Linked DNA regions of Canis lupus familiaris. The protein of the gene in region 1 interacts with the protein of each later gene in a pairwise test. Links are inferred from orthologs where the notes say so. Each region holds a gene or a part of one and is shown on either strand. Other genes may lie near its edges.

The links.
Region 2: the proteins of U2AF2 (region 1) and SCAF11 interact in binary tests that used the Homo sapiens proteins (3 or more experiments, as listed by UniProt). The link is inferred for Canis lupus familiaris from reciprocal best matches to the Homo sapiens genes U2AF2 and SCAF11.

The regions. Positions count from the first base shown.
Region 1 is NC_049222.1:102,851,734-102,861,690, reverse strand, and holds the start of U2AF2 (splicing factor U2AF 65 kDa subunit), read left to right. Parts: upstream 1-4,346; coding exon 4,347-4,395; intron 4,396-7,588; coding exon 7,589-7,724; intron 7,725-8,456; coding exon 8,457-8,501; intron 8,502-8,791; coding exon 8,792-8,895; intron 8,896-9,190; coding exon 9,191-9,342; intron 9,343-9,957. Other genes in the region: CCDC106 (coiled-coil domain-containing protein 106), read left to right, coding at 12-42, 187-294, 389-565, 1,441-1,653, 1,983-2,299. UniProt on the Homo sapiens protein: Plays a role in pre-mRNA splicing and 3'-end processing. By recruiting PRPF19 and the PRP19C/Prp19 complex/NTC/Nineteen complex to the RNA polymerase II C-terminal domain (CTD), and thereby pre-mRNA, may couple transcription to splicing.
Region 2 is NC_049248.1:38,222,322-38,232,057, forward strand, and holds the start of SCAF11 (protein SCAF11), read right to left. Parts: upstream 6,117-9,736; 5' UTR 5,925-6,116; intron 1-5,924. UniProt on the Homo sapiens protein: Plays a role in pre-mRNA alternative splicing by regulating spliceosome assembly.

The DNA.
Region 1 (9,957 bases):
GAGGCCACGCCATGAATGACCCAAACAGCCGGAGGAGGACACGTGAGGAAGCTGGGACCCTGCCCCACCCTTGGAGCTCCCCTCCCTGTCCCCTACCACCCTGTCCCCTCCCTCACCGGGGCTGCTGTGGTTGGGGGCTGGTCCCAGGTGCCTTCCCTGGGGTGACCCCTGGCCTCTCCTCTCCAGTGAAGAAAGACGATGAGGCCTTCGAGATCTCCATCCCCTTCGATGAGACGCCCCACCTAGACCCACAGATCTTTTACAGTCTGAGCCCCTCTCGGGGAAACTTCGAGGGTGAGCTGGGGGCGGCGTGGAGGGACCCCAGCCGTCTGGGGTATAGGGCCCTGGAGGCCTTGGGTGTGACCAAGGCTCCCCCCCCTGTCCCTAGAGTCTCCGGAGGCCCCATCCCCGACAGTAGCCCTGATGAATGGTGTCAGGGCCCAGCTGCACATGGCCCTGGAGAGGAACTCCTGGTTACAGAAGCGCATTGAGGACCTGGAGGAGGAGAGGGACTTCTTGCGGTGTCAGCTAGACAAGTTTATATCCTCTGCCCGCATGGATGCAGGTCAGGTGCCTGAGGAGCTGGTCCCTCATGTCTGCTTTGGCCCTCCTCTGGGATTCATGACCCTTCCTCACCTACTCTTCTCCTTTGGCATCTTTTGTCCTTTCCCTGCTCCCCAGGCCATCTCCCAGACCCCAAAGATCAGCTTGCTTCCTTCCTGACTCCTGCCTTTGCTGATGGGCAGGACCCTGTGGCCATGTCAGGGCTTTCCTTTCCCAAATCTTTGGGAAGTCTAACTTCCCTGTTTTGGGGAGTCTAACTTCTCCCTTCTGCATGATGTTCAGCCCTTGCCTGGCTCTTTCCCAGGACTCCATATCCCCCTGTGAATCACCTGACAGCCTGGGCAAGGGCTCTGTTTTCTCAGCATCTGTGTTACTGGGGACCCCTTTGCTCTGGAACCACCTGTGGCCCAGGGTGCTGATGGGAACCAAACTAGGATGGTGGGGCCCAAGGGCCCTCTGGACTTTTTCAGTGAGGTCCCACTGAGTCCCCAGAAAACCCCTCCTCCACTGTGGGAGCCTGTGGTCAGAGAGTCTCGGAGGTGTCTGGTCCTGTCTTGGTCCTCTCAGTCCTTCCCCCCACCTCTTGCCCTAAAGTTAAGGAGTCAGAGGAGCATGAAACCATGCCCCACCTGTGATCTTTACCCCCAAATCCAACCAAGTGTACTGTGTCCAGTCATCTTGGTGGGAACTGCAGCATCTATACTGCATTTTCTGTTTGTCTTGGGGGCTCCAGTCGGGCCCAGTTGAAGCCCCTACCACCATGTGTGATGTGACACCATCCCCACCTTGGAGATAGTCTCTTGCCTCCTTCTGCCTCCTGTTCTGGAAGTTCATGTGTATGGGTCTCTCTCTCTCTCTCTCTCTACCTCTCTCCAGAGGATCACTGCCGGGTGAAGCCTGGGTCCAGGCGGGTTGAGGGGGATGGCAGGGGTGGGGCTGGGGGCGAGGCCTCAGACCCGGAGTCAGCGGCCTCCTCGCTCAGTGGAGTGTCTGAAGAAGGCAGTACGATGGAGAGGAAGAGGCAGAAGCAGAAGGGAGGTGCTGGCCGGAGGCGCTTTGGGAAGCCCAAGGCCCGGGAGAGGCAGCGGGGTGAGCAAGGCGCATGCAGGGTGTGGGAGCTCAGGGGTTCTGGGCTGGGGGCTTGCTGTGACCGTGGGGAGGCCCTTCCTGTTCCCCTGGCCTGGTTGTGTGTCCCAGCCTATCATGGGGTCTTACTTTGGATCTGAGCCTCAGCTGGGCTGCGGATCCTCCTCCCTGGGCCTGCCTTCTCCTATTTTCCACTTGTCCCACTGTCTCTATGTCTCCCAGCATCTCCTGTCCTCTTGATTTCTGCGGTGTTCCCTGGCTCTCCCTGTGTTGGGCTCCCTGTCTGTCCTTGCCCCATCCCTGTTCCTCACGTCACTCTCTCTGCCCTGCAGTGAAGGATGCAGACGGTGTCCTCTGCCGCTACAAGAAGATACTGGGCACCTTCCAGAAGCTGAAGAGCATGTCCCGGGCCTTTGAGCACCACCGCGTAGACCGCAACACGGTGGCGCTGACCACGCCCATCGCGGAGCTGCTCATCGTGGCCCCGGAGAAGCTGGCGGAGGTAGGCGAGTTCGACCCTTCCAAGGAGCGTCTGCTCGAGTACTCGCGCCGCTGCTTCCTGGCCCTGGACGACGAGACCCTCAAGAAGGTGCAGGCTCTCAAGAAGAGCAAGCTGCTGTTGCCCATCACCTACCGCTTCAAGCGGTGATCCCACCCTACTTGTCCCTCCGTGCCCCTCCTGGCACCGGGCGGGCGTGTGCATGAGTGGTGTGCTCCTCCCGAGAGCCTAGGGGCTGGCGGCGTATTTCCCACCCAGGTCACTGGCCCCCTCCTCTCCTCTCCCGTCCCTGGCACCTTCTCCTTCGTCTGCATTCCCCGGGGAGGGGCGTCTACTTAGCTGGGCTCACCGGAGCCGCCGCGCAGGGCTCTGCCTTTCCCCAGCACTGGCCCCCTCCTCTGCCCCGGCGGGCCCCTGCTTCCTGGGGTGACTGCGAGACTCTCCGCGGGGCCAGGCACTCACTGTACATAGCCCGTCCCCATCCCAGCCCCGAGGAGAGGCTGGCCGGCTCTGCCAGGAGCTCTCCACCCGCATTCCGGACGAATAATTATTCAGAGGATTTAAATTAAAGAGAGACAATAAAATTTGGAATAAACTCGGCCCGGCCTCTTCTTAGAGGGGGTGTCCGTTGCCGCGGAGATGGTGACGGGAGCTCCGGGGAGTTGTATGGGGCGGGCGGTTAGGCAGGGAACCGGAGCTTGGGGAGACAGGACGTAATTAGCACCCCCAGCGGCACGGCAGGGGCGGGAGAAGGAGCAGCAGCCGTGCCCCGGAGAGCTTGGAGGGGCCACCGCCCCCCCCCCCCCCCCCCCGGTGAGCTCCAACAGAGGCGCGACGGCGGCGGGCGGCGGGGGACGCGGGACAGGCCGCGGCGGTGGGGGCAGGGAACGACAGGTCTGGATGGAAGCTACCACGCCCGCCCGCCAGGAGGCGGTACTGTCAATTACCGGTCTTCCGGAAGTGCCCTCTACGTCGCCTACTGCGCCTGCGCTGCAGGAGGGGCGCGAGCGTGCTTACACAGTTGCTACAGCAACCAGGAGAAGGCCGCTGTGCTTAACGGACTAAAATTCAGTACCTTCCCCGGAGTAAGGGAAAGTCTCGCGCACGCGTGCTGGGGCCTCTGGAACCCGCTCACCTCCCAAACAGTGAGAAACCGCGCCTCAGACCAACCTCTACGCAAGCGCAGAAGCCCATCTCGCGCCCCTCCTCTGCCCCTCTGCGCAGGCGCACAAAGCCGCGCTGGCAACCTCCGCAGCGGCCGCGCGCACCCTTCACCCCGCCGGCTGCTTTTGTCTCGCGCAAGCTTTTTAGGCCCTCCGCGAAATCCGCCCTTCTTTTCCTCCACTCTTCCCACCCGGAGAGCCAAGTGCAGAGAGCCGGGACCTCGCCCTTTCTCTGTATCCCTTTTCCTGACCAACCTCATCTCTGTCCTCCCTCCCTTTTTCCGTTCCCGAAGCCGGAAGGAGCCGAAGCGCCGACGGAAAAAACCGAAGCTATCTGCCGTGAGGCCTTCCCGAAGCGGTGGCGGAAGGAGCCGAAGTTTACCGGCAGGGGAGGAGTAAGTGTACTATCCGGAAAGAGCCGAAGCTTGGCGTCGGGTTTAATCCTTCGGCTGGGTCCGAGAGCCCTCGCTGGAAACCTTCAGAAAGCGCAGGAGTCCGAGAGTGTTAGGATTGTCGGAAATAGCTGATTGCTTGGATAGAGCCGGCGGAGAGGAGCGGGCAGTATCTGCGGAAGCAGCCAAAGACTGGGACGGTTTGAATTGTCGGAAGAAGCCGAACCCCTCGGGGGGGGGGGTAGGCGCAGAGGAACGCGCGGACCTACGGAAACACCCGAACGTTGAAGAGCTAGTTTACGAAAAGTTACGATAGCTTGGGAAGCCGGTGAAGTCTTCGCTTCGGGTGTTTTCGGAGGCAGCCGAAGCCGCTGCTCCCGATTCCTTCTACTGCCCGGAAATAGCCGACGCTATTTGGAGCCCGGCTCTGGGGGGAGGGGCGCGTCGCGGGTGGGCGGGCGGGGAGAGGGGCGGAGCAGGGGCGGGGCGGGCGGCCCGGGCTTGATTAAGTAGGAGGCGGCGGAGCGCCGGCGGCGGCCGGAAGTAGCCGAAGCGAGCGGCGGAAGTAGCCGAAGGGGCCGGAGCGGGCGGGCGGCAAGGCGAGGCCAGAGCTGCACAGGGCCCTTACGCGGCCGTCTCAGCATGTCGGACTTCGACGAGTTCGAGCGGCAGCTCAACGAGAATAAGCAAGGTGAGGGCGCCGGGGGCGCAGGGCGGCGGGCGGGTCGGTTCCTGGCCTCTCTCCGTGTCCCCCGCCATTTTCCCCCGCTCTTCCCCCTCCTTTCAGGGCCGCGCGGCGCTCCCCCCCACTTCGCCGCGCGCCTCGCTCACGTGACCACCCGGCATGCAGCCGCGCGCGGGAGGGGAGGGGAGGGGAGGGGGCCGCGGGCGCGGGTCCCGGACGCATGCGCGGCGCGCTCCGCTTTGCGCCCCACGTGGTCCGCGGTGGAGGCGGCGCGGGCCCGCGGGCTCGCTGGGTGTTCCCTGGCGGACTAAGCACTCCCATATATTTAAAAAAATTTTTTTTAAAATCTGAAAATAGGTTTTATGTGTATTAGGTCCCGCAGTGCTTCCTTTCTTTCCCGCTGTCCCGGCACTTCCGCTTCTGGCCGGGCCCGCGGCCCGGGTCTCCACGCCCCTTTTGTCCCAAAATGGCCGTTGCGAGCTCCCCACGTGGGCGTGGGTCGGGGGGGACGCCGGCCCGGGGCAGTGAGCGTGTCGCGGTACCTTTTGCGGGAGAGGACACTCGTGCGTGTCCCGACCCGGGTTGGAGGTGGCGGGGGCACGTCATCCCACACAGCTGTCGGGGCGCGGGGCCGCGGGTTTTCCGACGGGCACAGGCGGTGGGCGCTGCCGCGCTCCGTCTGCCTCGACTGCTCGTGGGAGGGACGCCGGCGGGCGGGAGGGCCTGCCCCGGGTGGCGTCGGTCTCTGCGCCACGTGCAGCCGGGCGTCCTGGGCTCCCGTCCCGGCGGCCCTGCCGCTCTCACGGCTGTACAGCGGCTCGGTGCCTTGTCCCTGAGTCTGTGGGCGAGGGAGGGCGGTCGTAACTACGGTGGAGGTCAGACCTCGAGCGCTTGCCAAGTGCATCCTTGCGAGGCTCGAGAGATATTTTTCTTGCCGTAGAGGGGGAAACAGGTTTCTCAGGCCTTAGCTGTGACAAGGCCGGGCGGAGTTTACGTGGGGGTAGCGCGTAGAAGCTTGTGACGGGGTCTACGCTAAGGGCGGAGGAAGCGATCTACTGGCCACTGTGCAGTTATTCTCGGGGTGATGTCATCCTAGGACCTGGAGAGGACCACGGCGGGGAGAGTGCTCTCCTAGTGCCTTTCTGCCAGGTCCCCACACACCTGGGTTAGGTGGGACCCTTGTTCACAGGAAGGTTTGTTGGCTTCTGGGCGGTTTCATACCCGTACAGAGCAGAAGTCCACCTGAGTGTGGTTGGTGGCGGGGCTGCCAGGTGGACCTGCCTGAGCTCCTTAGGCAATCGCAGATGTGTGCCTCGGTTCTTCCTGGCGCTGGGAGGCCAGGCCCTCAGCCCTGCACGGCCCCTGGGTTGGTGGAGCTGTGCGCACAATGCAGCCACAGACTTCTGAACAACTGAAGCACCTTTTCTGTTTTCTTTGTCCGGGATATCTGTGTGTGGGGAGGCAGGAAGCTCCGTGCACGTCTGCCCTGCCTGTGGGTGGGTCTCTGGACCAGCCTGAGTGAGGCCTTCAGCCCTCTGAGAGCCCTTCAGACCCAGCGTCGGGCAGGTGTGTCCTCGGAGAATTAGTTTCCTTGTGTGGTTGCAGGCTCCCAGCAGGCATCACTGCTTCCTCTCCCCTGGTTCTTCTGCCCGCTTGTTTTGTTTGTTTCAGAGCCTCAGCTTGCTCATTTTATAAGCTTGCCGCCAGAGGCCCGCAGCCCCACAGCCTCCTGCCATGCTGGTGTGTTTCTTTGCTGCTCTTCTTTGCTTCAAGTGTCTGGTTTAGGTTTTATTTATTCGTGTTCAGAGAGATAACATTGTTACTAGTGGTTCTGGGTGGACTACAGCAGCTTTGCCTGTCCTGAGTTGAGTCTGCCCAGGTGATGATTAGCTGTACTTGCTAACATTAGGGAATTCACCTTCAGTCTTCACCGTCTTTTTGCTTTTTGGTTATGAGCAAGTTATGTGAACTCTCTGTGCCTCCGTTTCCATATTTTTTGTTTGAACGAATAGTAGTGTTTTTTTCCAAACAGTTGTAAGAATTGGCAGTATAGGTGGGTTTTAGAAGTATTCTTGTGTTTGCTCATCTGTTTTTTTTTTTTTTTCCTGAGGTGCTTTTCCTTAGTTTTATGGGTTCTAGAGTTGATTTGTTTGTAGAAAGTTGACGTTTAAAGTTTCAGCATAAAGTAGCACGGATGAGGCTCAAGTCCACTTTAACACCCCGTCCTTGTTGCCTTTACCTGTATCCGTCCATAGAACGGGGCTAGTGGAGGAGGGTGAGGGGTGTCTTTGAGTTAAGGAATAAGGAAACCTGCTGTGACGTGGTGCTCATAGCTTGGCCTGCACATCCTTCCCAGGGTCTTTTGAGCGGAGTTTTCTATGGTTTATACGGGCTAGGCTTGTGCTCCGTTCTTTTAGTCGCCACCCCCAAGGCTGAAGGGGTTGAGTGAGCCTACTAGGGGGCTGGACCCTGTCCCTCTTGTGTTGGCTTTGAGGGAGTGTGGGCAGGATAGGGTGGTTTGGGAATCTGGCCTGCAAGGGGTAGGGGGCAGGGCATGCTCCTCCCCTACCTCTTGAGGCAGGGCCCAGCACCTCCCTTTCTAGGCCACATTCAGAAGGGAGCACCTCCCTACAAGAGGGCATCTTGCATTCTTTCTCTGGTTGGGAAGGGACCATCAGGTGTCCTAACTTCTTGGGGATACCAGATCCTGCCTTGCACCTGCCCCTGGGGCCTGATGGTGGGGCTGTGGGTGCCAGCTGGTTGAGGAGGTCTTTCCTGAGGGGTCGCCAGTTTCCTTCATTCAGGAAAACATCATTGGGTCTCTTGATTCCCCAGCCTCTAGCCCTGCCCCTCTCAGGGACGACCCTGGGGTCAGGCCCCTCAGCCCTCGAGGGGGACCAGGAGCCAGCCTCCTCTGTCTTCTCTGGCTCCCCAGCTCCTCCTGAGCATCCTCAGGTATCTTACACCCCGTGGGCATTTCCAGGCTCTGTCCCCTCAGGTAACCAGCTCCTGTCCCCTGGGACCCCCAGGGCTCCTGGACTGGCTTGTGGACCCAGGAAGCCTGCTATATTCCCTCCTCCACTGAATCCCTTCCCCTTGGGGGGTGGGTTCCCTGGGGCTCGGGGCATAGCCACCAGTGAGTGGGTGGGCTGGGCCATGTCCTCCCTCAGCTCATTCTCCTCCCCCTCCCCTGGCCCAGAACGGGACAAGGAGAACCGGCACCGCAAGCGTAGCCACAGCCGCTCGCGAAGCCGGGACCGCAAGCGCCGGAGCCGGAGCCGTGATCGGCGCAACCGGGACCAGCGGAGTGCCTCCAGGGACAGGCGGCGACGAAGGTACCAGGGCTTGGGGACCCCTGGCTGGGAATGGAGTGTCCTTGCACCCAGACACTGGTGTGCTTCGGCCTCTTGAGTTCTCTGTGTGTGTGTGTCTAGGTGTCTGTTACTTGTCTGTCTTGCATATGGGCTTTTTTTTTTTTTTTTTTTTTTTTTTTTTTTTATACTCTGTTTCTAGAGTCTTCAGTTTCTGGTGGGTTGGTGGGGGCATTGGGTTCTTTATCATGGAGGTGAGTCTGGATTCAGGGTGCTGACTCTTCTGTGTTGTGTTCACGAGGCCTGGCTCAGTCCCTGCCTCCTAGGACCCGTTTCTTTTTCCCATTATTATTCTGTGTTTTTCTGGGATTGTATTCTGGGGTCTATACTCTGCCTCCTGGGAAGAGGGGTTCTCAAAGTGGGGCAGCCTCTGTGAACCCAGCTGCCATCTGCTTTGCTAATGCTTCTTCCCTCCCTAGCCTCCCCTCTGTTTTCTTTCCCCTTAAGCGAGGAAGGGTAGGGTAGGTGGAAGTTCTGCCTTCTTACATTTCAGTTTCTCCAAGTAGAAAGTGATCTGTGTGGCCTTTCATCCCTTCCACAGTTCCTCTTTCCTGGGTTGGGGGTTTGGGGGGGATGGCAGGGCCAAGGGGGCCTGCCCCCAGCCCTGGGGCTCTGTGCCCTTGGGGAGGTGTGGCGTGTGGGGAAAACGAGGGTCCCCAGTCACCCTTCCCCATACCTTTCCCTCCCATCCCTCAGCAAACCTTTGACCAGAGGCGCTAAAGAGGAGCACGGTGGATTGATGTGAGCTGCTCTTCCTGCCCCTTCCACCCTGATGTCCACTCCCTCTGCCCCTGCCCTCGTGTACCCTGCCCTGTCCTTGTCCAGCCCTGGCCCAAGCACTGGGGAAGAGGTTCCACTTGCCTTGAAACCAGCACCCTTCCCGAGGCCTGGGTACAGCCCTGACCAGATCCTCTCCCTCCTGGAGAGCACTGCACTCCTAGTGGGTAGCTGAGGGGAGCCTGGGGTGCTCACAGGCCCACCTTTGGTCAGACTGAGGTCGTCCTGCCCGGCTCTCCCTTCCCCCTTCCCAGTCGTTCCCCCCGCCATGAGAAGAAGAAGAAGGTCCGTAAATATTGGGATGTCCCCCCGCCTGGCTTCGAGCACATCACCCCCATGCAGTACAAGGCCATGCAAGGTAGGTTTCAGCTGTCGCCTCCTTGGTGGAGAACATGCTAGGTGGTTGAGGGAGCAGATCCTGAGCTGGGGGGCAGGGGGGATAAGGTTTGTGTCCCGGGCTTTCTGGATTTTGCCTTTTTGACCACTGCAGAAGAGGTGCTGTGAGGTTCCCATGGGGAGCTGAGCCTGTGTGGGCTGGTCCACAGGGAGCTGCCTCCTCCCCTATCCAGGCTCTCCCACCAGTGTGCTGGGGGTGGGATGTGTGTGTAGAGGATTGCCAGGTTGCCATCTAATCCTGCTCTTCCTTCTCCAAGCGGCGGGTCAGATTCCAGCCACCGCCCTCCTTCCCACCATGACCCCTGATGGCCTGGCTGTGACCCCGACGCCGGTGCCCGTGGTCGGGAGCCAGATGACCAGACAGGCCCGGCGCCTCTACGTGGGGAACATCCCCTTTGGCATCACTGAGGTACTGCCTACCCCCTGCCTTTTCCCTGCCCTCTCCCCAGTTCCCTCCCATTCCTCCCCTCTCCCCCTCCCCTCCCCCAACCTGCACGGGTCAGACTCTGCCTCCTGCAAGGCCCCCCGGCCCCCTCCCCGACGGACCGATGGAGTTGAGCCAGCCAGGGGCCGGGCTGGGGGTGGCCCTCTCCCTCCCTCCTCTTCCCCTCTCCCGTCTCCCCTTTCCCAACCTCCTCCAGCAACCCAGGGATCAAGGCACACACAACGAACCTACGAAAATCCATGAGTCCAGTCCGTATCGAGAGAGACAGAGAGGGAGACTCGCACGCGCGCGCGCACGCACACTGACACACGCACACACGCACACACGCACACACGCACAGACGCACGCTCCCCTCAGTTGTCTCTGACACACCTCTGGTTCTCTGCCGCCTGTTCCCATCCTCTCCCCACGTCCCTCCCGTGGTCGCTGCTCTTTTGTTTTGATGGCCCTGACCTCCCCAACCTTCCCCACCACTCCTCTCCCCTCCCTCCCCCCCACCCCTTCCCGTGGCACCCCGAGAATCCCGAGATCAAAGAGTTGTTTCCATTTCTCTTTAAAGTGAAATATTGTGGGGCTGAG
Region 2 (9,736 bases), on another chromosome or scaffold:
TACTGGAACTCAAGAAGAATGGTGAGATCCTCAATATGAGGTATGGTGAGGGGCCTAGAGTGAGGAATGCATCTTGGCACAAGGCAGCAGAGCCTTGAGAAGAATGAAAATATTACCCAACTCTGGAGAAGAAGCAACAGTGACAATAGAATTTGGCTACACCTTGGTGACTGATCATAAGTAAACACACTAAGGATACTGGAAGTCAGGCTTCCCCTTAGAAGAAAGCAATAAATCTGGAAAGGGAGAAAATGAAAACACCGGAACTGGAAAAATTGGTAATAGCCCATGGTTTTTTATATATATACAGAAATAAATCTTGGCTTTCTAAACATCTTTCTCCACTAAAAGAAATCACTCCTTGGAGAAATGGATGATTCTAGGGTTACAACAGGGAAAGTACGTACAAGGTAACCCTGGAACATTTTCTTGTGTCAAACAGTAAGGAAGTGCTCAAAGCAAGTCAAAAGAACAAAGAAAGCATTTGAAGGGGCTTTCACTGGTCAAAGCTGGGACAATTTGATAATAAATAGCAAATCTGATGAAGAATGGGCTATTTATAAAGTCTGAAAATGCGTCCCACAAAATACTTATTGATTACTAAGAGGAAAAAAAAAAAAAAAACTTGGGTGAAGAAGCTTGGGAAACTTCATCTTAATCAAATGATCAAAGTGTACATCATCAGTAATGGCACAAAAAGAAAATTGTATGCCATCCAATAGGATGCAATGAGAACACAGCATCATTGCTGAGACACTCCTGCACAATTTGAACCCAGCCATAAGGAAATACTAGGCAAATCTAAATTGAGAGACATTTAACAACAAAACTAACCTGTAATCCTTTGACGTGTCAAGGTCATGAAATTTAAGGAAAAACAAGGGATTGTTCTAGGTTGAAGGAGTGTAAAAAGACATTACAATTAAATGCAACGCAGGACTCTAGACTGGATCCTCTTCTTAAATGAAACTACTATGCAAACTGGCAAAACCTAAATGAGGTCTGAGAGTTAAATTGTAATAATATAGTGATGTTAATTTCCTGATTTTGATATATTTATATAAAAGAAAGTCCTTATCCTGGGTTTGGGGCTATGAGAAGGCATCGTAACTTACTCCCAAATGGTTCAGGGTTTGAAAAAAACTTCGTACTTGTACTGGGGCCTTAGCGGGATGGTGTCTGAAACTTATTCTCAAATGGCTACGGGGAAAAAAGTCTTTTGTATTCTACTTGAACTTTTCTGAAAGTTTGAAATTGTTTTTAAAAAAGAAAAAGTTAATTTACAATGTTCATTTATAGCACCTAAAACTAGCATATAAGTAAAACAGTACTCTTCCCAAATAAATATGTTTCCACCTCTTCTAATTATGACTCTGCTTTATTATTTATGAGGTTCTTAATGACTTTTGATCTATATCTGCACCATAACGACTACTCAGTTCCTTGGTCGCGCTGGCCATATTTCAAATGCTCAACAGCCACATTAGCTACTACTGTATTGGCAGTACACACACTTCGATCATCACAGAAAAGTCTACTACTAGATAGCGCTGACCTAGAGTTTGAGAGGCCAACCCACAGACACAATGAATAACTAAAGACTAAAGGCCCAAGAGTCAAACGGACTTGAGTGTATATTCTTAACAAGTGCTCTGACACTTAGCAAGTCATATAACTTCTCTAGAGCCTCAGACTCCTTTCCATAAAAAGGATTAACATACCCAACATAGCAAGGCTACTGAAAAGGTCAAATGAAAATTTATGTAAAATGTCTAAAACAGAGAGGGTGGCACACAGGAAATATCCAACAAACATTAGGTCTCTTCTGTAATGTAGACAGCTAATTTCTTAATGTTTGATCTCAGTTGTTTTTTTTTTTTTAATCTACTTCAGCAATTACAGGAGCATCAATTGGAAAATAAGAAACTTACTACCTTGCTTATTCAAAGGCCAATGAGCTCCTTGTTAAATTCAGTGAAAAGTCTTTTAGCTCTTGGGGCACCTGGGTGGCTGAGTCCTGCTTAAGTGCTTAAGCATCCCCACTCTTGATTTCGTATCAGGTCATGATCTCAGGGAGGTGAGATCAAGCCCACCGCCAGGCTCCACACCGGGCATGGCACCTGCTTACCATTTTATCTCCCTCTGCACCTCCCCTCTTTCTCTCTCGTCTCTAAAAAAAGAAAAAAAAAAAAAAAAAAGCAAAATCTTAAAACTCTTACATTACTCAACTCTCATCAACACTGGAATCTACTGATTACTCTTCCTTGAAATACTCTCTTCCTTTAGTTTTTGTAATATCACACTCACCTTGTACTTCTCTGATCTTCACAGTAGTTTTGGGGAACTTCCATTCACCCAAGCAAACTTTTTTTTTTTTTTTTTAATGTTATAGGCCACTGTGATTCCATTCCAGTTATAGTCCCTCCCTTAGGCAATTCCACCTATAGTTTCAACTACCTACATAAGTGACACCAATTTTCTATTCCAAGCACAATTCCTCTGAAATTTAGAACCATATTATCTAATTGCCTACAGAAATTTCCATCTGAAAAGTTCCAGAGGTACTTTAAATGCAAGATGTCAGAATCAAAAGAACCTTGAACCCTATGTGGTATTACCATCAATCCAGCTGTTTCCTTGAGTTGATGGTTCAAATTTCTGTCCTTCACTTTCCATTCATCAACAGAGGCCTGGTGATCTCTTGTTTTGTCCCCAAATACTGGCACAATGTCTAATACGTAGTAGGTGCTTAGTAAATATTTAATGGATTTTAAACAGAAAGACAATTATACCACTCTACCCTTAGCTAAGTATTCTTATTTCCAACTATATCCTGATAAATCAGTTTCAAGTTCACATTCTATATATGCTTCTTTAAAAATGTCCCCTGAACTGAATATAAAGCAGAGACCCAAGTAACTATGCAAAAGAGTGAGAGCTGGGTAATGTTTCAAACCATAATTACTATCTTTAAAGTTTTAACGTTTCCAGCAGAAAGGAGATTAATCAAATATTTACTAAGCACCTACTACGTATTAGGCATTGTGCCAGCATTTGGGGACAAAACAATGGCCCAAACTGACAAACCCTGTTCTCACAGAACTTTCATTAAAGTGAAGAAGAAATACAATAAACTTAAGATAGTAAATTATACAGTATGTTAGAAAGTGATAAATGCTATGTAGAAAATGTGGCTTAAAAAGTGGTAGGAAATGCGGGAGGAAGGTTTGGTTTTGACAGAGCAGTCAGAGAAAACTTATGTAGGAGAGTAGAAGTCAGTTGGACAAAGAATGAGGTAATCAAGTCGAGAGAGGAAGACGAGACTCAAAACACTCACAGCCTGGTAAACCATGGACTTGGATTTTACTATGAGAAGGGAAGCCAGTTAAGAAGAAAAGTAACATGATTTGACAAATTTCATCAGGATCACTCTGGCAGTTGAGCGTAAAAGACCATATAGGTAAGCAAAGGTCATAGTGAGACTTTTTAGGAAACTATTTTGCAAGTAAGAGAGGATGGTACTGTTTTCACATTTTACAGTAGAACCATATCTGCCTAAGTACTAGAATTAACAAATCTACGACTTTTAAAGAAAGACAACAATGACAATACAAAAATGAGTCTTGGTAATAATACCAAGAGAATACTAGGTATTTTAACTCTGAGCCCTACTCAGTGCTACTACCAGTTAGAATACAGATGCAAGATAAGGTGCAAACCTGCTAATTTATTCTTTCAGATAGAGAGTATAACTAAGAATTTAGGTTTGAAGCTTCTTTATTTCAGTGGGCAAGGTAAGTCAAGATCCAACACACATCACTTAAAGGTAAGGGTAGATGATGATGGTAGAGCTTGCAAAAGGGAAGTTAAAATGAAAATCATTCTAAGGCTGAGATTTTATTACCTCTATCTCTGCCACTCTCTTTAGTTAGGCTTTATAATTATCTCATTGGTGTATCTAAAAAGCTCAGTGTTAAGTCGGTGAGTAGTAGTGTACTCTCCTACTATTAAAACATGCTACTAATGGTGAATCAACATCAGCCAACTGCACGGTTTCCTCCTATAACAGCACAGCTTTTCAGGAAAATTGCCTAAACACAGGCTAGTGCCCAAAAAATAATGGGGAAGCTGGGTGACCCCTGAAGAGTTTCAGTCTTAACTCATGGATCCCACTGCCATTACCTAAAGACGTGACAAAACAAATCACGCTTAAAGTTTTCTCCATTACACGTTTCAGGCAGGCAATATATTTACCAACAATTTTCTCTTTGCCTCTACAGTTTTATTCCCCCTTGACATATCGAAAAATGTTTTTACAGCGTGAGTACACTGGAAGTAAGCAAACATCCTAATCTTATCCGACCAAAATCTTAAAATGTACTCAAAATCCTTTAAAAAAAAAAAAAAAAAAAAAAAAGCATACTCAAACTCTCAGGCAGAAAGGTCACCATCTGAACGTACACTGATTAATATACTTGCACCAAAAAAAAAAATTATAATGAAAAAGTGCAGCTACAGTTGAGAATAACTTTAAAAACTCCTATGGCATAAACTAAGCATATAAAAAGTAAATTCAGATTATCTTCCAGAGAAGAGTATAAAACAAACTCAAAGCCAATGCCAAATCTTTATCTGCTCAATCAATCAAAGCAACAAAAATTAAAATCCCACAAACTTCTTTACTGCAGCTTTTAACCAACGGCCAAAAAAAAGAAAAAAAAAAAAGGGGGGGGGGGGACGATTTAAGGCAACTGCCAAAAAAACAGGAAAGAGAAAGCGGCGGTCTAGAGATTTGAACCTTATCAAAATTGTAATACAATTAATTACCAATAAAAACAAACAACAACACAAAAACCACCAGTTACTGAAGAATGTTTCGCGTCCCATATTCTGAGGGAAGGAGCCACATGCTTGAATTAAGTTTCTAGAATGAAAACTGCATCTCTTCCTTCATTAGGCTTTTCCTGATTTTCCAGTGGGGGATTAAAAAAAAAAAAAAAATTCCCCACAATGGGAAAACCTAAGGCCAGCGTCCACCGGCCAAACCTTAAGGACCTCCTGAGCAGTTTCCCCCTAAACCCCTCGGCTCACGGAGGGCGTGCGGGGACGTTAGCTGCTAACACGGCCCGGGATTAAGGAAGACCGCGCGGTGTGGACGCTACGAAAATCCTCCACAGAAACCCGCTGAGGGGGGGCGGGGGTGGGGGGGGGAACTCTCACGATTTCAACACTTCCATCTGTATTCTAACCCGACTACTTCAACCGGGCGTTTACTTCCAAAGCAGGTTTTCCAAAATACGTGAGGGGGGGGAGGGGCCGGACGGCCCGCGCGATCCCCAAAGAAACGGGATCCCGGTAGGTGCGAGCGAGGAAGGGAGGGCGACGCATCCGGAGAAGTTCAGATCCGGCCCTTTTGTTGTCAGCCCAGGAAACGGGCTGAAAAGTCGAGGGGGTGGGGGTGGGGGTGGGGGTGGGGGGAGAAGAGTTTGAAATTCGGGGCGGGGGGGGGGGGGGGGGGGGGAGCGCGGCCGCCTCGCCCGCCGCCTCGGCCCGTCCGCGCGGAGGTCACGGCGCCGTGAAGTTTGGTCTCACGCGCGGGCCGGGACGCGGCTGACAAAAGCCAAGTCTCCCAAGTCTCCCAAGTCGGGGGGGCGGGCGTCGCGGCGCCGCGGGCAGCCTCCGCGGGCTCGGGCGGCGGGCGCGGGCCAGGCCCCGGCCCCGGGGTGCGGACGGCGCGGCGGCCGGAGCGGGGCCTCCCGGCGGGGCGGCGGCGACCAAGGGGCCCCCCCCGCCTCCACAGGCGGCTCCAACTTTCCTCCCGGCGCGCGACGCCGCCTGGGCCGCGCGCAACCCGCAAACTTCGCGCGCCCGCCCGCCCCCCGCCCGCCGGAGCCCGCCCGCCCCCGCGGCCGGCCCGCGTTTACCTCAGGCCGAGGTGGAGGCGCTCGCTCCGGCGGGTCCCCGTCACGACGCCAAGTTCCCCAACATGGACTCCGCGGCCCGCTCGGAGTTGTCGCCGGGGGCGCCGGGTCGGGAGGCGGCGAGAGCGGCCCCGGGCTGCGCTGCTCCGCGCGACTTGCGCCACCGCTGCTCCCCCTCCCCCCGCCTTGTCTGGCCTCCTCCCTCCCCTCCCCTCCCCTCCCCTCCCCGCGCGTGCCCTCCCCCTCCTCCCTCCTCCCCCCTCCCCTCCGCTCAGCCGCGCCGCCACATGTCGGCGCGCTACGGTGACGACGGCGGCCGCGGCGGCGGCGGCGGCGGCGGCGGCGGCGGCCCAACCCGCCGCGCTCCCTGCCTCGCTCGCTGGGCCCCCGCGCGCGGCGCTGCAACGCTCCACCGGACCACTGGGGGGCGCCGGCAAACCACCCTTAGCGTCTCAGGAACGTGGCGGGCGGAGTGACGTCACGCGGCCTGTGAGCGGGAGGGAGAAGGGCGGCGAGCGGCGCGGGCTTCTGGGAAACGTCTCGCGCGCGCTGTCATCCTCCCTCCCCCGCCCCCTCCCCGCTGCGGACTGTGCGCAGGCGCCGTGAGGGAGGCGCTGCTCGGGCGGCGGACAATGCAGGCGGCCCCTGGGGGCCTGGGCGCGAGGTGGTTTGCGTGGCGCTTGCCGCCCTGTCGTTATGGTAACCGGGTAGCGGAGAGCGTCCTTCGGCTGCTGGGAGGTGGGGCGAGTCCTGCTCACCTGAGACACGCCCTCCGGGGAGGTGGGCGTGCGGGAGACTTGGAGCCCCCCTCCCCCGGCCTCCTCCTTCCCTCCCGGCGGGCGTTTAAAAGGTGCGGGGGGGACAGGTTCCCCCCGGGCCCCCCGGGCCCCCCGAGCCTACGCGCGACCGCGCGTCTTATTTCCAACAACAAAGAAACTTGCTGATGATTAACTTGGAGGCGGGCCGTGCGCTCCGGGCCCCGCAGGGCGACAGGTCGGCCGCCGCGACGGGAGCAGGTGCGCCTCGTGGATCCCCCGCCGGGGCCTGGGAGCCGCGGCCTCACCCTCGCACCGGCGGCTATTTTCAAAGCTCCGGACTCTTCAACCTCGTGGTTGTCCCTCCGGGCGGCGTCTGCGCGCGCCCGAGCGCCCTCCCCGCGCCCTCCCCGCGCCCTCCCCGCGCCCTCCCCGCGCCCTCCCCGCGCCTTCCCCGCGCCCTCCCCGCGCCCGCCGCCTCTTGGCGCAGGCGGCAGCCCCGCGGGGCGGAGCCCAGGAGCCGGGCCGGCCAGCTGCGCCGCGCGTCCCTAACCCCGCTCGCTCGCTGCCCGGCTCCGCTGCGCCGCTCCCCCGGCAGGCGCCCTCCCCCCGCGCACCCCCCGCGGACGTCTCGCTGCCCGCCTCACCACCCCACTGTGGGCCCGGGGACAGCGTCTCCCTTTGATAACAACCGCTCCTGGCCCAGGGCCTGTCACTCCATGAAAACTCGACAAGGAGTTGCTGGAGGAGTGTGTGAACGGCAGCCTTGTCCCTATCTCAAAGTCTCGGGGGGTTCACGTTGTGCAGTTTTTTTGATACGAGGTGTGGGGCTTCCGATGGGCTTTGCTGTGTTTGGAAAATGTGAAGGAATCGCGATCTAGAGGAGTTCACTTCCCCCCCCCTCCCCCCCCCCCCCCCCCGGAAGAACAAAATTTTTATGAAACGTCTTTCCCTGTCACTCTCAGAGGGAAGAATGCCCTAAAATTACAAGGTCAACGAGGACAGTGACGAGCCCTCCCAACAGAATGAGTGTAGCTTTGTCGTGTATAGAGGATAGGACCTCCAGGAGTGTAGCTTCAGGTGGAGGCTAACGGGGCAACGTTCTCCTGTAGGTATTTTACGTGAAAATCTATTTATTTGTTTAAAAAAAGTAGTCCTTGGGGATCCCTGGGTGGCGCAGCGGTTTGGCGCCTGCCTTTGGCCCAGGGCGCGATCCTGGAGACCCGGGATCTAATCCCACGTCGGGCTCCCGGTGCATGGAGCCTGCTTCTCCCTCTGCCTGTGTCTCTGCCTCTCTCTCTCTCTGTCTATCATGAATAAATAAACAAAAAAATAAATAAATAAATAAAGTAGTCCTTAAAATTCAATTAAAGGTCAAACGATCATATCTGCCAATAGAAAACCATAATTTCGGGATCTCTGGGTGGCGCAGCGGTTTGGCGCCTGCCTTCGGCCCAGGGTGTGATCCTGGAGACCCGGGATCGAATCCCACATCGGGCTCCCGGTGCATGGAGCCTGCTTCTCCCTCTGCCTATGTCTCTGCCTCTCTCTCTCTCTCTCTCTCTCTCTCTCTCTCTCTCTCTCTCTCTCTCTCTCTGTGACTATCATAAATAAATAAAAAAATTAAAAAAAAAAAACCATAATTTCGGGATCCCTGGGTGGCCCAGCAGTTTAGTGCCGCCTGCAGCCCAGGGCGTGATCCTGGAGACCATCGGGCTCCCTGCATGGAGCCTGCTTCTCTCTCTGCTTGTGTCCCTGCCTCTCTCTGTGTGTCTCTCATGAATAAGTAAATAAAATCCTTTAAAAAAAAAAAACTATAATTCTAAAAAAGACCATACCATTTCCACAAAACTAAACAATGGGAATACCCCCCCCCCCGCCCCCCAGGCCATTTCTCCCTTGTTTTATCATTTTATTTTATTTTGTTTTCATCATGATAAATATACTTTTTAATCCCTACCCACGTCCCCTTTGGTAACAATTAGTTGTCTATAGTTAAAGAGTCTGGTTTGTCTTTTTCCCCTTTGCTCCTTTGCTTACTTAAATGCCACATATGAGTGAGATCATATGTTATTTCTCTTTTTCTATTTCATTTAGTTTTATACTCTCTAGCTCTATTCATGTTGCAAATGGCAAAATTTCATTATTTTCTATGGACTGAATAATATTCCATCGTGTATATGGACCACATTCTCTTTATCCATTCGTCTGTTGATGGACGCTTGGGTTGCTTCCATAGTTTGACTATTGTAAATAATGTTGTAATAAACATAGGGGTGCCTGTGTCCCTTTGAATTATTGTTTTTGTATTTTGGGGGTGAATACCCAATAGTGTGCTTACTGGATCATAGGGTGGTTCTATTTTCAGTTTTTGGAGGAACCTCCATACTGAAGAATATGAATTTTTAAATATTTTCTCTGGCGGATAATTAATTTTCCACCTTTTTTAGAGTTGGACTCCTAGGTATTATGTGAGAATGTTTTAAGCGGGGAAAAAAAGGCTCTTAACGCTAATGTACTAGTGGTTTCTACTTTCATGTGCAAATAGAAAAGAGGGTGGTGATCTGTAATAGGTCATCTCTTGCCTCCCCGGGGAAAACACTGTATTTCTTTACCTGCAGCATCCTCCTAGTTATGTTTGCATGTGAGGATTTGTTACTCTCTCTGTGGTTTCAATATTTTTTATTTACAGGGTAATAAAGAGATACAGTTTTAAATAAGTGATGAACTATAAAATGCAGGAGTAAAGATTGATATATAGCAATCATCACTGTCAACATTTAGATTTGATTATAATCATAAATAACACAAATGTTATGCATCATAAAACAACCTTCAACTGAATGCCCAATTGGCTTATTGTACGTTACTAGGCACTTAAAATATCAAACATGTCACACAGCAGCAGAAACACATACTGGCATCTTTAAAAAAAAAAAAGGAAGGGTAATAGTCTATTGGTTTTAAGAGAGCTTTACCAAAAATAACTATTATTAATTTAACTGCTATAAGTTGAATACAAAATAAAATTGAAATTAAGAGGTGGAATCACCATGTAAA